3 linked regions of the Bombyx mori genome follow. Each later gene encodes a partner of the first gene's protein in a complex. Links are inferred from orthologs where the notes say so. Each region holds a gene or a part of one and is shown on either strand. Other genes may lie near its edges.

The links.
Region 2: PH (region 1) and RNA cytidine acetyltransferase share a complex: the UniProt entries of both Drosophila melanogaster proteins name them as parts of the PRC1 complex. The link is inferred for Bombyx mori from reciprocal best matches to the Drosophila melanogaster genes ph-p and l(1)G0020.
Region 3: the proteins of PH (region 1) and SCM are in contact, whole or in part, in a crystal structure (PDB 1PK1), measured with the Drosophila melanogaster proteins. The link is inferred for Bombyx mori from reciprocal best matches to the Drosophila melanogaster genes ph-p and Scm. Residues at the interface, in NP_476871.2 of Drosophila melanogaster: Gln1537, Gln1538, Glu1539, Ile1540, Asp1541, Gln1543, Ala1544, Leu1547, Leu1548, His1552, Ala1556, Met1557; in NP_001247006.1 of Drosophila melanogaster: Asp819, Ser821, His825, Met848, Lys854, Leu855, Gly856, Pro857, Leu859, Lys860, Asn863.

What each region holds. Positions count from the first base shown.
Region 1 is NC_085107.1:11,345,117-11,349,480, forward strand, and holds part of PH (polyhomeotic), read right to left. Parts: intron 4,161-4,364; coding exon 3,959-4,160; intron 2,857-3,958; coding exon 2,702-2,856; intron 2,284-2,701; coding exon 2,151-2,283; intron 1,558-2,150; coding exon 1,466-1,557; intron 947-1,465; coding exon 871-946; intron 1-870. UniProt on the Drosophila melanogaster protein: Polycomb group (PcG) protein. PcG proteins act by forming multiprotein complexes, which are required to maintain the transcriptionally repressive state of homeotic genes throughout development.
Region 2 is NC_085120.1:8,061,233-8,066,298, forward strand, and holds the start of RNA cytidine acetyltransferase, read right to left. Parts: upstream 3,008-5,066; 5' UTR 2,673-3,007; coding exon 2,565-2,672; intron 2,116-2,564; coding exon 2,021-2,115; intron 1,915-2,020; coding exon 1,755-1,914; intron 1,266-1,754; coding exon 1,129-1,265; intron 432-1,128; coding exon 269-431; intron 1-268. UniProt on the Drosophila melanogaster protein: RNA cytidine acetyltransferase with specificity toward both 18S rRNA and tRNAs. Catalyzes the formation of N(4)-acetylcytidine (ac4C) in 18S rRNA. Required for early nucleolar cleavages of precursor rRNA at sites A0, A1 and A2 during 18S rRNA synthesis.
Region 3 is NC_085129.1:7,205,756-7,210,748, reverse strand, and holds the start of SCM (sex combs on midleg), read right to left. Parts: upstream 3,008-4,993; coding exon 1,950-3,007; intron 1,542-1,949; coding exon 1,244-1,541; intron 211-1,243; coding exon 1-210. UniProt on the Drosophila melanogaster protein: Polycomb group (PcG) protein. PcG proteins act by forming multiprotein complexes, which are required to maintain the transcriptionally repressive state of homeotic genes throughout development.

The DNA of each region.
Region 1 (4,364 bases):
CTTCATCCTACACATTTTTGTATTTGTGTCTCTTACCTGTCGTTTTTTCCGTTGCATCCGGTTTGAAATCACAACGATTCTAAAGAAGTTTTCACTTCAAAAAAAATCATTTTGTCAATGCTACTTGCGTGGAACATAGAACAAATCGTCTTCTCGCGTTAAAACTGTATAATCTCAAAACTTACTAATTTTACAGGAGAGTGTTTTAAAGGTTTAAAAAATGTGGTAATTTTTTAATATTAATCATTTTTGCAACATTTATTTTTTATTAGTTACATCATCTGTCTTTGAAAGTAAAATAAAATTATGTATTAATTTTGTTAATAGTAGTCAAAATACAGGAAAAAAAAAACGAAACTACGCTCTTTTGACAGTATTTATGAGAAAAATACCAATTGATTTCGCATTTTAATTCAATTTCGAATATTTTTGGAAATTGTACACTTTTAATGCAAAAAAAACGAAATGTCAAAGATAGGAATGGAGACCCCATTGTATTTATTGTGTGATTAAGCATTAGTGGTTGGCGTATGAAATGCGAATAATTTGCATACAAAGCCGTGCGTGATCACAATGCGACCACTGATAGGCATTAAAGCGGGGTAGCATTGTGTTTGTTGCAGTGCGAATATTTTAACCCACAGACGCAGCCCACTGAGTTTCTCGCCGGATCTTCTCAGTGGGTTGCGTTTCCGATCCGGTGGTAGATTCTGCGAAGCACGGCTCTTGCTAGGGCCAGTGCTAGCAACACTCCGGTTTGAGCCCCGGGAGAGCTCACCTACACACGTTAGGGTGAAGCTGATATAGCCTCGCCTATCAGCATAGGTAAGAAAAAAAAAAGCGAGTATGTTAAACGTGTATTCAACTAACGTGGAGGCTCGTCCGAACTGGGCAGTTTGTTTTCTTTGTCTTCTTTGTCAGCCCATTCGCGTAGAGGTCGGTTCACCTGAAATTTTACATGATATTACTAATTTAGAAGTTGTTTTTAAAATTTATTATCATTGATATGTAAGACACTCCGTTACTTATTTAAACTTAAATTTGACAATATTATTTTATTAAATATGTCTGTTCTAGCGCTAATGCTAGTTCTAAAATCATTCTTAATTCGTTTGTCACTCTATTCGTTAAATATTAAAACGGATAGGACCGACGGTGTTCTTTCTTTTTTATTGCTTAGGTCGGTGGACGAGCTCACAGCCCACCTGGTGTTAAGTGGTTACTGGAGCCCATAGACCTCCACAACGCAAATGCGCCACCCACCTTGAGATATAGGTTCTAAGGTCTCAAGTTTAGTTACAACGGCTGCCCCGCCCTTCAAACCGAAACGCATTACTGCTTCACGGCAGAAATAGTCAGGGTGGTGGTACCCACCCGCGCGGACTCACAAGAGGTCCTACCACCAGTAAGTTCCTAGTTCCTAGTTATTTTGTCAAATTTGTTTAATAACACCAATATAGAATACCGCGAATGGTTCTCCCGCCTCCTGGATGACATATCCTTCTATCACGTGCGTCAGTATGTTCGGCTTCACCATAGCTTTGGGGAGCCCTTTGTCTGTAACCACAACAAAAGTCATAAGATTTAGTGTAAGGATACTAACATCGACCAAAACGTGTTATGCAAGTTTCTATTTTAAATATCCATTTGAGAAGATGGATTCAGAAAATATCTATCACCCGAAGCTGAAACCGGTACAAAAATATGAATACCAAACATATTGGTATTGAACGCGCAAGGCTAAGTGTACAAAACTACCTATTAAGTATAGCATGCCGTTGCTTAAAACATTTACTGTCGCGCACTACAAACTGTTTACGATTTCAAGAACAATACATTTAGACCCTGTTTTGCTACTCAATAAGTTCAAATTTTTTTTCTTTCTTAGATGCGTGGACGAGCTCACAACCTACCTGGTTTTAAGTGGTTACTGGAGCCCATAGACATCTACAACTTAAATGCGCCACTCACCTTGAGATATAAATTCTAAGGTCTCAGTATAGTTACAACGGCACCCTTCAAACCGAAACGCATTACTGCTTCACGGTAGAAATGGGCGGGGTGGTGGTACCTACCCGTTCGGACTCACAAGAGATCCTACCACCAGTAAAATGACGCAATGACTAAATGACTCAATAAACAAGTCTTACCGTGTGCAGCGGCTTGGCTGATATGACGCGGAGTACATTGCGTGCTCTTGAACATAGTTGATGTACCGGAAGCTACGGACGCTGTGGTCACCGAAGTCATTGTGGATGCAGACACAGAAGACGTTGTCACCAGCTGTACATCATTCACGTATTAAAGTTTTTCCTTATTTTAGTTAAGTATATAAGAAACATGGTATTGATGTAGATGTATTGAATAAGATTTATCAACTGAAATCGTCAAAATAAAAGAGCTTCAATATGATAGGACATTTTGACTCCAAATGTATAAAACAACTATATCTATCAGTATATATATATTACATAATCACTTTTTAAATGAAAATAAATGGGTTTCCTTAACAAAAAAATAAACCACAGAAACCTCAAAAATAATTAGGCAACTCGACTTCTTAATATTTAAAGACATTTCCATGAAATCTAGCTTGATATTTTCGAATTGGTTATTCAATTTGAAAGTCGAATCTGTCCATAGACCTCAATACGTACACTGTTCGTTTCTAGACGTCAGGACTTACAAGCTAAGAACAAACCTGCGGTAGAATAGGGGTCGTTTGCTGCGCACTGCTCGCCACAGAAGTGGAGTTGTTTGACACACTTGGAGATACCGAGGAGGGAGTTGAGTCAGCCACCGAAACGATCTCCTTCTTCGACAAAATCGGCTTCGCGTCTGGTGGCGGCGGTGGCCCTAGATAATTCACAATAATTACTTATATACACTGAGGAATCACGAAAGTGCGTACTTTTAAATGGGCACAATGAATACACAGATCTTTGGTTAGTGTAGACCTGTTGTTTCTCATAAATAAAGTTATCCTCATTATATGAATCGATTCAATTATAATTTGTAATTTTTCTGCGTGACGTATTTGGATGAAAGCAAGCTGTGTTGTGAGTTTCTTGTTTACTAGTCGTAAAACTGCATTCAAAATCAGTCATGAAGTCATGACAGTATAAAGATTTATTTAAATAAACCGTTTTGGCAACCGTAAACATTTACTAACGTATTTTACAATCTATATATGAATACGTGAAGCAAACACTTTGTACCCCCTTTTACGAAAATTGCGCGGACGGAGGAGTATGAAGTTTCCCACACTTATAGAGAATATAGAGAAAGAGTGCACAATGCTACTATTTTTTAAAATAATGCATATAAATCTATTAAATCTATAAATAATGCATTAAATCTATAAAGAAAACATTACACACATTGCCATGTATTTGACACACACGCATGCATAATATTTGTTTATTGTCAAACTTTACTTAATGCTTAAAGTCTGTGGTCAAATTGAAAATAGGTTAATATTGTTTATCTTTAATATTATTTGTCTATAGTGTAGTCTTGGCGAAGTCTGTGATTATAGAAGTATAATAGTGTTTGACAATATAACCATAATAATGTTCAAACTTATAATTTCAATTAATTATAGTCGAATTTCGACTACTGCGGGACCACTAGTTTTTATTAATAGAGAATCCGGCACATGTTAAGTACGTATTTACTTAGAAAAATATCAAGAGGTACTATCATTAATATCCCACGCTTTCACGGCCGCAATAACCGCCTAACTTTGTATTTATTAGGAAAAATATATATAAAGATATATAATAATATATAAAGATACAGTCGCAACCGCCATTCGAGAAGCCGAGGACCGGCCGAGATGGAAACAGTTCACGAGACAGGCCACGGTCAAGTTTCAGGGACACGACCTTCAGCAATGAAGAAAGCGACAAAGAAGAAGAAGAAGGAAAAAGATATATGTATATTAGAAGTCACTCACCCATACATGTGCTGGTGGAGATAGACGCGTCGGCCGTAGTGACGGTCGTGACCGCGGCGGTGTTGTTCGGAACGGAGGCGGCCGAGCTTATGATTGGCGTCGCGGATACGGCCGCATCCGTTGTCGACTCGGCGACCATCTGCTGTTGCGGAGCGATCTGCTGCACGGGCGCCTGTACATACGTATTCGAATGAAATCGGACCTAATGGAGAGACAATGTATCGATTAAATTTCGTGTGCGTTCTTTTTAGGATTAGTTGTTAGTATACCTTTTTTTTTATTGCTTAGATGTGTGGACGAGCTCACAGCACACCTGGAGTTAAGAGTCGTTACCGGAGCCCATAGACATCACGCAAATGCGCCACCCACCTTGAGATATAAGTTCTAAGATCTCAGGTATACTTAC
Region 2 (5,066 bases), on another chromosome or scaffold:
TTTAATGGGACACTCAGTCCCCAAATACCAAATATCTTTCATTATGATATTGACTCTGAACTGAAATCTAACACAGACATAGTGTTTGTGGTATTGTAGTCAGAGTCACCAACCAAATTACAATGAGCCGATCGAAATGAAATTTGCATTACATATATAAATTTTATAATTTTATCTCTCAAAATTCATAACCATTTTGTTGGCCTCCATTGTATTCATCAAAATAATATATAAATTACTATTAAAATTTCAAAAATCTATTTGTTACCTCTGGTGTAGCATCTACAGGGTCGATTTGGGCGGTTTTGGATGATATCGGCAGAACCGTCAGTGAATCATCAAGTACCAAACATCTAGGGTTATCTGCTAGAGACAATAGAAATCTTTCATTGAAACGATTGACCACTGTGTCATAAGCTTCAGTTTTGAATCTGTAAATTAAATATAAATTTTATTTTATTTCTCTTAAAAGTATTATAAAATTTATTGTGAAAATATTAAATTAACTAAAATTGTAGTTGTCACTGGACGTTTATACTGTTCTCATGAGATTATAATGATATGGTATTTAAATGTAGTAGGGCAATTTGCATTTTAATTGGGATCAATTATTGTAGAGCAACTCTTCAAGAGAGCTTGTCAATTCGTGTATATAAATAATAATAATACAAATGGCACAACATACTTTATTTAAAAGTTATTTTTTTCATTACAGTATTGTATTAGAAACTAGAGACCCGCCCTCGCCTCGCTTCGGAAACTGTAATTTATTATTGATTTCTCCACTATTTAATGGATATTATTATAAATATAAACCTTCCTCTTCAATCACTCTATCTATTAAAAAATACCGCATCAAAATCCGTTGCGTTGTTTTAAAGATTTAAGCATACATAGGGATATAGGGACAGAGAAAGCGATTTGTTTTATACTGTGTAGTGATTATATAATATTATTATAGATAGTATAGATATGTATTTAGTTTCTTATATAAGGTACTCACAAAACGCCCTACCACCATCACTAGTACCTAATTACAATTTTGCCCCTATGTATGGACAGACAGATATAGGGACAGAGAAAGCGACTTTGTTTTATACTATGTAGTGATTAAGAACAGAATAATACCTTGAGTGTACATCCATTGTTATTGAATGTAGTTGTCTCAGAGAATCCATGGTTTTAAGTAAGAATATTATAAGACCACCCCCTTCTACAGTTTCAATTGTTCGTGCCATCAAATTGGGGGTGAGAGCTTCAAAATCCTAAAAATAAACGTCATATACATTAAACCAAAAATTTGACCTCATGTCAGATCATCATTGGTTTTTGTCTTTTTATATTGCTTAGATGGATGGACGAGCTCACAGCCCACCTGGTGTCAAGTGGTTACTGGAGCCCATAAACATCTACAGCGTAAATGCGCCACCCACCTTGAGATATAAGTTCTAAGGTCTCAAGTATAGTTACAACAGTTGCCCCAACCTTCAAACCGAAATGCATTACTGCTTCATGGCAGAAATAGGCAGGGTGGTGGTACCTACCTGCGCGGACTCACAAGAGGTCCTACCACCAGTAAAAAATTAAAATTTAATTTAAAAATTGAAAGTTTTTTTACTGTTTGCATTTTACCATGAAAAAATGTAGTTACTGGATGGTAGCCAATAACCAAATTTTACATGAGCCACTCTAGTTTTTGGTGTAGCTTTATATGGCATACCTTTCAAAACATGTCTTTTTAATTTGTAACTTACTTGCAAAACGCAAACTCCATATGTCTGACCGAGCATTGCATGACTTTCTGAATAATATCTACCGTGAATAGTAGTGGCCACTCTGAATGCATCAAACAGTGATTCTTCGGAGACTTCCAGTTTTCCAGCTGCTATTTTCTTGGCTCTTTTACGACCATGACTAAAAGGAATTCATTTATAATCAATATTCTTAAAGTATGAAATCATGTATTGTTTTGGGTAGTTAACTATTGTTACAATACAATTGTCTAAAAATTGTTACTTACTTGCTAATTGCTTCATCTTTGTTCTTATAGCACCAGAGTACTGTTGGCCTAGCCTTTACTGTCGATTTGACTAACATATCATATAAAATGGGCACCTGAAATAAGTTTTTTTAAGATTTTTTGTTAAATTGATTTAAAATGCGATTTGCGTGACACGTCTTGCTGGATATAGATAGCTAATGTACCAATTGTTCTGATTGCAACTTGATATCTCAGTTGATCGAAGCTCAGGCAGGAATAATTGTTGTGGTGTCTGAGAAATTTTAATGATAGAAATGTTTTTTTCTCACAGAAAAATTAGTTACATTTAGAAATATAATATGTGCATCACAAATTTTAATACCGTACATTTTCATAAATATAAAGCCAATATTCAAATATCAATGTAGATATGTATTACAATTGTATTGTTTTTAGATACTTAAGTTTTAAAGACAGGAAAAGTACATAGGTACTTGTATACTGTGTACTTGTATCTGCTTAACATGAAGTCTTTAATTTTATCACCATGCTTATTTTATTATTTGAAGAATTTTTCATTTACCTGATCTCTGCTTTTGTCTCCAATGAGAAGAAACATGGTGCGATGGCCAAGTTTAACTCCATTCTCTATCATAACCCTGATACGATTATCAATTTTCTTTTTCACCATTTTCGGATATGTTCAATCAAATCTATTAAACTAGGTAGCGTTAAATATTGTTTAAAATTTTATAACCTAAAATTCAAAACAAAAGCACACTTCATGTTATTTGTTTGATTGATCTAATAGACAGGCAAAGACAATACAGCCCATACTACCAAGACTTATTACAAAAGCTGAAGCCAAGCTTATTAATGTAAGGTAAACTAAAAGTAGACGAAACGAGATTTGAAGATATAAGTAAGGCGAGACTAGACTAGACAAGCTCGGACTAGACTAGACCAGAACAGGCTAGGCCTGACCAGGCTAGGTCTAGACCAGACTAAACTAGGCTAAACTATATAATTCATTCGGTTAAACGTGTCAGAATGACCCATAGTAAAAAAATAGTGCAACCAATTTCGTATTATAAATACGACAATAATTGCAAAATAAGTTTACAAGGCTCTTTCAACATTTTTTGCTAAATTTAATCTTATAGGGTGCGTTCCACTAAGCGTTCTCAACGAACACACTCACGACCGCAATTTTTCCCGTTCCACTTGCTTGTGAGCGTTACTGTCATAAACTCAAGTGGAATGGATTAAAGAGCGTTTTGAGCGTGGAGATAAATAATACAAAGGGTGAGTTAACAAAAAGATTTAAGAGGTTAGGTTATACGAGGGCGGCACTGAAAATTTCGGGAATTAACGAAGTGACACAACATTACTATTTAAAATTGTATTTATTGCTTTTCGAAGTATTCTCCGTGAAATTTGACACATTTTTCCATACGATGAAACCAATCATTGAAGCAACCATTCCATTCCGAAGTTGGGGTCTCCAAAATGGCCGTTTTGTAGGCGTCCACAGCTTCTTCAGGTGATGAAAATCTCTGTCCACGCAATTTATTCTTTATTTTAGGGAAAGTATAGAAATCATTAGGGCTTAGGTCGGGGTTGTACGGCGGATGGTCCAATAATTCTATGTTTTCTTGCTCTAAAAACTCTTTTGTTTTCTGCGCGGTGTGAGAACTCGCATTGTCGTGATGGAGGATGATGCGGCGGTTGCAGTTCTCTTTACGGAGTTCAGAAACGACCTGTGGCAAACAAATGCTAGCATACCATTCTGCATTAACCGTTCTTTGTCCCTCAAGAGGAATAGTCGTAACATGGCCGGTTTTGGAGACAAACGTGGCCACCATTTTTTTTGCAACACTCCGTGAACGAACAATTTTTGTTGGCTTTAACTCATTTGCGAACACCCAAACTCGTGACTGGTTTTTTGTTTCGGGTTCGTACGCGTATATCCAGGATTCGTCACCTGATACAATGTTGTATACAGCATTTGAGGATCCTGCGTGGAATCTTTCGAGAGTTCTGACGCACCAAGTAACGCGAGCCGCTTTTTGCTCTTCACAGAGCGAATGCAGTATCCATCGTGAAAACAACTTTTTTACACCTAATTGTTCATGCAAGATTATTTGTATTTGACTCATGCCAATGTCTAAAGTTGCCTGAATTTCGCGGTATGTCACATGTCGATCTTCCTCAATCAGCTTACGCACAGCATCAACGTTTTCTTGGGTGACTGCAGTTTTTGGACGACCTTGACGGGGATCATCACTGAGTTTGACACGTCCACGTTGAAACTCAGCAAACCAGCGATAAATTGTGGTTTTGGATGGGGTTTCATCACCAAATGCAGAAATCATCCGGTCAACACACTGTTTTTGTGTTAAACCACTTCGAAAGTCATAATAAATCATCGCTCTTGAATTTTCTCGAGTCAATTCCATTTTCTCAACGACTAAACAAGTTTGACAAAACCTCGTGACAAGACCGAGAATCTTTTTTTAAATAAATAAATGGTATTCGATTTTTAAAACCAAGGAGTTTTCAATTAAAAAGATTTTAATATGACAGGAACAGTGGAAATATTCCATTCCCGATACTTTTAGTGCAGCCTAGTAATCTGTAAGCCTTGAAAATAAACTTAATTAATTATTGTTTAAATCGATTTATATTGAAAAAAAATATAATTTAATTTTTTATATTTAATATTAGTGGTGTATTTAATTAATTTACTTTCAAATGTAATTAAAATGTCTTTTGCGGTGGCACTTGGATATTTGGTAAGAGGTCGCAATAATGCTCCAGATAGTATCTCTTTCCGCATGAAATAACGTAAGCTTAACGGTCGCCATTTTTTATGCTTTGAGTTTTGAAAACGCCGCTAATTTTCTCAACGATCACTTCGATCCACCTTTTTAGATAGATCCTCGTGATCTTCGCGTGAGCGTAAGTTATGACGTCATAAGTGACGTTTTCGCCGCGACCACAACGACCGCGGTCGTTATGTGGAACGACTAAAGGAGCATTTCGATCGTTGTGGGTGCTTAGTGGAACGCAACCATCATGTTAC
Region 3 (4,993 bases), on another chromosome or scaffold:
TAGGGGCCTCTTTACAGCTGATGATACATTATTAGATGATGAATCTCCACAAAGTGAACATAGTTGACCAGGCGCATCCTCTGTATCTATTTTTATCATACCAACACAGCTTCCCACACCACTACAAACAGCTTTCAACCAATTCTTCAGGTCATCATTTGTAAGCTCTGAAGGTACTTTTACTGTATAATTTTTGCTTCCAGATGAGACCTATAACAAAATTAAGTTTTAGTTTACAATGAATACTATAATACTGACCTTAGTTAACTTGTTAGACCTGAAAATTGTAGTTTGTGAACAATAGTTGCAATCTAACCCACAAATCTAGATAGTGGTTCAGTACTATAATTTTATTCACCATATAAGTATGCAAAAATTATTTTCTGTGCCACCTGTAAGCCTTGAATCTATTTCAACATTTCTTTTCATTCCTGTAGGCTCTATAGAGCTGTTAAGGCCTCTAGCTACTTCACTGAAGATTGTAGGTTCAATTACTATCAGGCAAGCATTCCTGTGATAAACAGATTTGCTTGCTCTTGGCTGGGTGCTGTAATAGGTGGTTTTGACTAATAATATTTTAGAAATATTCCAGAAATATTTAGTTTTTATCTATGTTTTTACTGTTATTATGATTTTTTCTGCTTGAATTGCAATGGTGCTATAAGGACATGTAAAGGATTTCTAAAATTTGTGTAATAGTTTAGATGGATTCTCATAAATGAAAAATGTATAATTCGTTCAGGTGTTTACAACACTGAAACATTGTGGTATATATTTTTTTTTATATATTAATATAATAATGTTATATATCAAATCAAATGATGAAATAAAGTTTATTAATGTTTTTAGGTTTCTGAATATTTATTTTTTATCTTGAAGTTTGTTATACCTCTAATGCGATAAAAACAATATAAAATGATTGCTAAAACATCAGGTTGTGACATTTTATTTAGAGAATACACATAGAAAGGGTGAAAGGCTATAAATCAAATAGCAACACTTCTGCATCTTTACATCAAAGCCACTGAAGTTCAATTAAAAACATTGAACTGTTGATGCTTATATCACATAAAATGCACCTTCAATTAACAAAGATAAATGTCGCATATTAAGCAAAATTTAACTTATACCAAACATATATATAGATAATATATATAAATAGCCTTCCACACCTCAATATATGAATTGATGTATGTATTTCATATTTTAAATTTTTAAAACTTGCAAATGAAGAAAACGTTACCTGTACTTTATTATTATTAGAATAGCTACTTGATGCAGTCATTATTGCTCTTGTCAATCTTTGAGGGTCTGGATGTACAATTAATAGTTCCTTAGCAAGAGCTTCAGCAGCACCTGAAGGCCCAGACCCTGAAATTGTACTGGGTAACAAGCTATTTCCACCAGTACAGCTGTTTCGAATACAAAGTCTCACTAGAGGAGCCGGTGTTGATGTAGGTGTTGTAGAGGAGTTTCCAGCACCAGTAGAACCACCTTCTGGCAAAGCAGGATTAGGTATACCAGTAGGTCTAAGTTTAAACCTGAAATGAAATAAAATTACCTAGCATTGAATACTTTACAACTATGAAACTACCACATTGGTCTGTTGGTTAGTAAGTAGCTCTCACTATTACTACTGGGTCTTACATTGATCGGTGGTTAGATCATATATTTCATTATTAAATGTCTAGGTATACTTATTCTTATCCAGTATGGGTCTTTCTCACAAAAGATTAGAAAACTCTAATTCTAGTCATTAAACGTAGACTGTTTAACTTTTCTTTCAACAAGATAATGAGAAAGATCACACACAACAATACCGAACAATGTATTTTCATAATATAAAACAATATTTGTCTAATTACATCTCAATTCAATCAATAATTCTAAGTTTCTCAAAATGTAATAGTTCCAAAATTGTACTAATAGATGTTAATAATGTTACACACCTTGATGGAGTTGTAGCACTTTTGTAGCACTGACCAGGTGGCTGCAAAGGATGACCTGCTCGAGCACACCACCCCACAGGGAATATATCCCTAGAATCATATCTACACCAGTAATCAAATGCTCCTCTCCAACCATCAAATGTAACATGGATTTGGTCATTTTTAACTGCTCCAACTGTTGCACAGCATATCAACTGCGGGTTCTTTTTATCAACTGCTTCCAACTTTTGACCAACAAAAAATAAATTTGATTTGGGAGTAGGTGGCTCATCTTGAAATACTTTAGCAGGAGCCATTTGGGCTCCATTCAAAGTCTTGAGCAAAAACATAGGCCAACTGCTTGCATTCATGCGAAAGCCGAGTGGAGGTTGTAGCATTCCATCATGTTTTTCACAGTGTCCTATGGGGTGTATATCTCCAGCATCAACGAGTCGCCAAAAGTCATTTTTATTATCGCTTCCGTCCAATCTCAGTCTCAACCTTGGACCCAAAACACCAACAACAGTTGCAATGCATGTTGATGTCAGATTACGGGGATCCAATGCTTCGAGCTTCATCCCAACTTTAAAATCATTGATGGGTGGCATTGGTGCTTGTTTAAAACATTCTTGAGGTGCGGGTACACTGTTTGTTTCTTTCATGTATTCAGTCCAGTCAAAAGGTTGGTAAATATCATAAAATGAACCCGTAGAATTGTTGTTAGAATTACTTTCAGTTCCGTTTGCTCCGTTTCCAGACTGTGGTGATGTGGTACGTTTTTCATTTTTCTTCTGATAAATGTTCAAACAATGCGTAGAGCAGAAATTTTTGCTGCTAGAAGGTACATTACCGCGTATAACTGTGTCACAATGTAGACACGCGCCTTTGCTGTACGCCTGTCTGAACTCTGAGAGACATGTTTCGGAGCAAAACTCTTTTTTACCATTTTCCGTCGGTAGAACATATTTTAACGGAGTCTTACTTTCAGCACACCATGTACAAGTACGTTTCGGAGGTCTACCAGGACCACGTATTTTGCCGGGAGCTGGCCCCGACGAGCCGACAGTATTATTCGACATTGTTTTATTGTAACTTTCAACGCATAATTAAACACATTCTCACTTTCTGTCAATGAACTTGAAATTTATTGTATTTTTCGCAATATTTTAATGCTGTAATCACTATTACGACGGAAAAGATACTTAAATAAGCTCAAATATAAACAACGTCAGACAGTAGGTATTTTGGGTAGGTACCTATTTATGACGCGCTTGGAAATTCGAGCGGCCATATTAGTTTTATTAAATTTCGGATACATGATAGAAAGTAACTAGAGATATGTCTTGATTAAAATTAGATAATTTGATTAAATTTTCGAGGGCTGATGTCACAGTAGCAAAACAGAAAGCGGCATGAGACATAATTTTAATAAAAAATTACTTAAATTACCCATGCTTTAAAAATACGGTTAAGTAGTAGCATTTACAGTTTCTTTGCTCAAAATACCAATACAGAAAACACAACAAAAATATATTTAACTTATCACAAATATGGCATATTTTTTTATCAATAAAGTAAGATTGTCTATTAAATGAGATAAATGCTCTGCCGGATGCAGTGAGAAGTGCTTCAACTTTAAAAGAATGGTGTAGGAACATAACTGCATATTGTTTGTTGCTTATAAGCTTTACTTGTAAATATATATATGCGCAATGTAGGCGTGAGGTGATGGTTTGCTTATTAGATGTAACATAATTAATAATTGCGAATTTAATTGTTTTTATGATCGAACAATCACCAAAAGTCGTCGAACAAACGATAATTGATCAAAATTAATTAATCTGAATGATAAAAATAAAGATATCTAGTAAGAGGTGCCAACTTAAGGGTGATCAATTGTTTAAGTAATTATAAATAAATAAAAGACGAACAAACAATTTTTACATTCGAACATTAACGAAGAAACGACGAACAAATAATTATAAATAAAAAAAATCCGAAAATAAAAAAAGGTGGAGCCAAATTCAGTGAGCCGACTGTCAGGGACGCATTCTTGCAGCGATGTAAAATGTACTCTATAGAGTGTAAATTATAGTTGCAATATAATAGCGGACTTTTTGGAGGGAGCGCGAGGAGTGAAGTTGTGTGATTTGTTTTAATTGGCCTATTTAGTGTTTCTTCAGATTTAAATATATAATAATGGTGGTTTATTATCTGTTTAATATCTGTGAAAGTGCACAAATGTGGGAAAATGAAACAAAGCCGCTGGACGTAACTTCTTGGGATCCCCCAAAAAGTCAACTGAAAAAAATCTCAGTAAATGACCACCATTTCATTGAGATTATAGTGTTCTGTGGGCACACTCAAATATATTAAGTGTATATATGGGCACAACAAAGTCAACTTCGGTGTACGGACTTTTTGGCGGGAACGCGAGGAGTGAAGTTGTGTGATTTGTTTTATTTTGTCTCATTAGTGTTTCTTCAGGTTTAAATGTGTAATAACGGTGGTTTATTAACTACTTAGTATCTGTGAAAGTGCACAAATGTGGGAAAATGAAACAAAGATACTGAACGTTACTTCTCGGGATCTTCCAAAAAGTCCACTGTAAAAGTCTCAGTAAATGATCGCCATTTTACTGAGATTATACTTATCATCTCATCCCATATCATCTCATCTCATTTCATTTCATTTCGTTTTCATTTCACTTCATGCCATCTTTCATAATATTTAACTTCTTTTCATCTCATAATATCATTTTCATATAAAAAAGTTACGTATTTTTAAAATTAAAATAAAACTTGACCTACAGGTCTTAGTTACCAGGTCATAAAATCCCATAAAAAAAAACTTCGGTGTACTGTATTATCTATCAATTAACCTTAAAATAAGAATTGTATATCTTAACGTTTTGTTTATCATTTATGTTAAAATTGTCATTTGTATTGCGTAGAAATATGTCTCAGTCAGTTACGAAACTTATAAATAATGCAGATATAGCTGAAAAAAGGCTAGCCGAATTACGTAAAAAGGTTCGTTTGAAAAAAAAGTACGGTTTTTAAGAA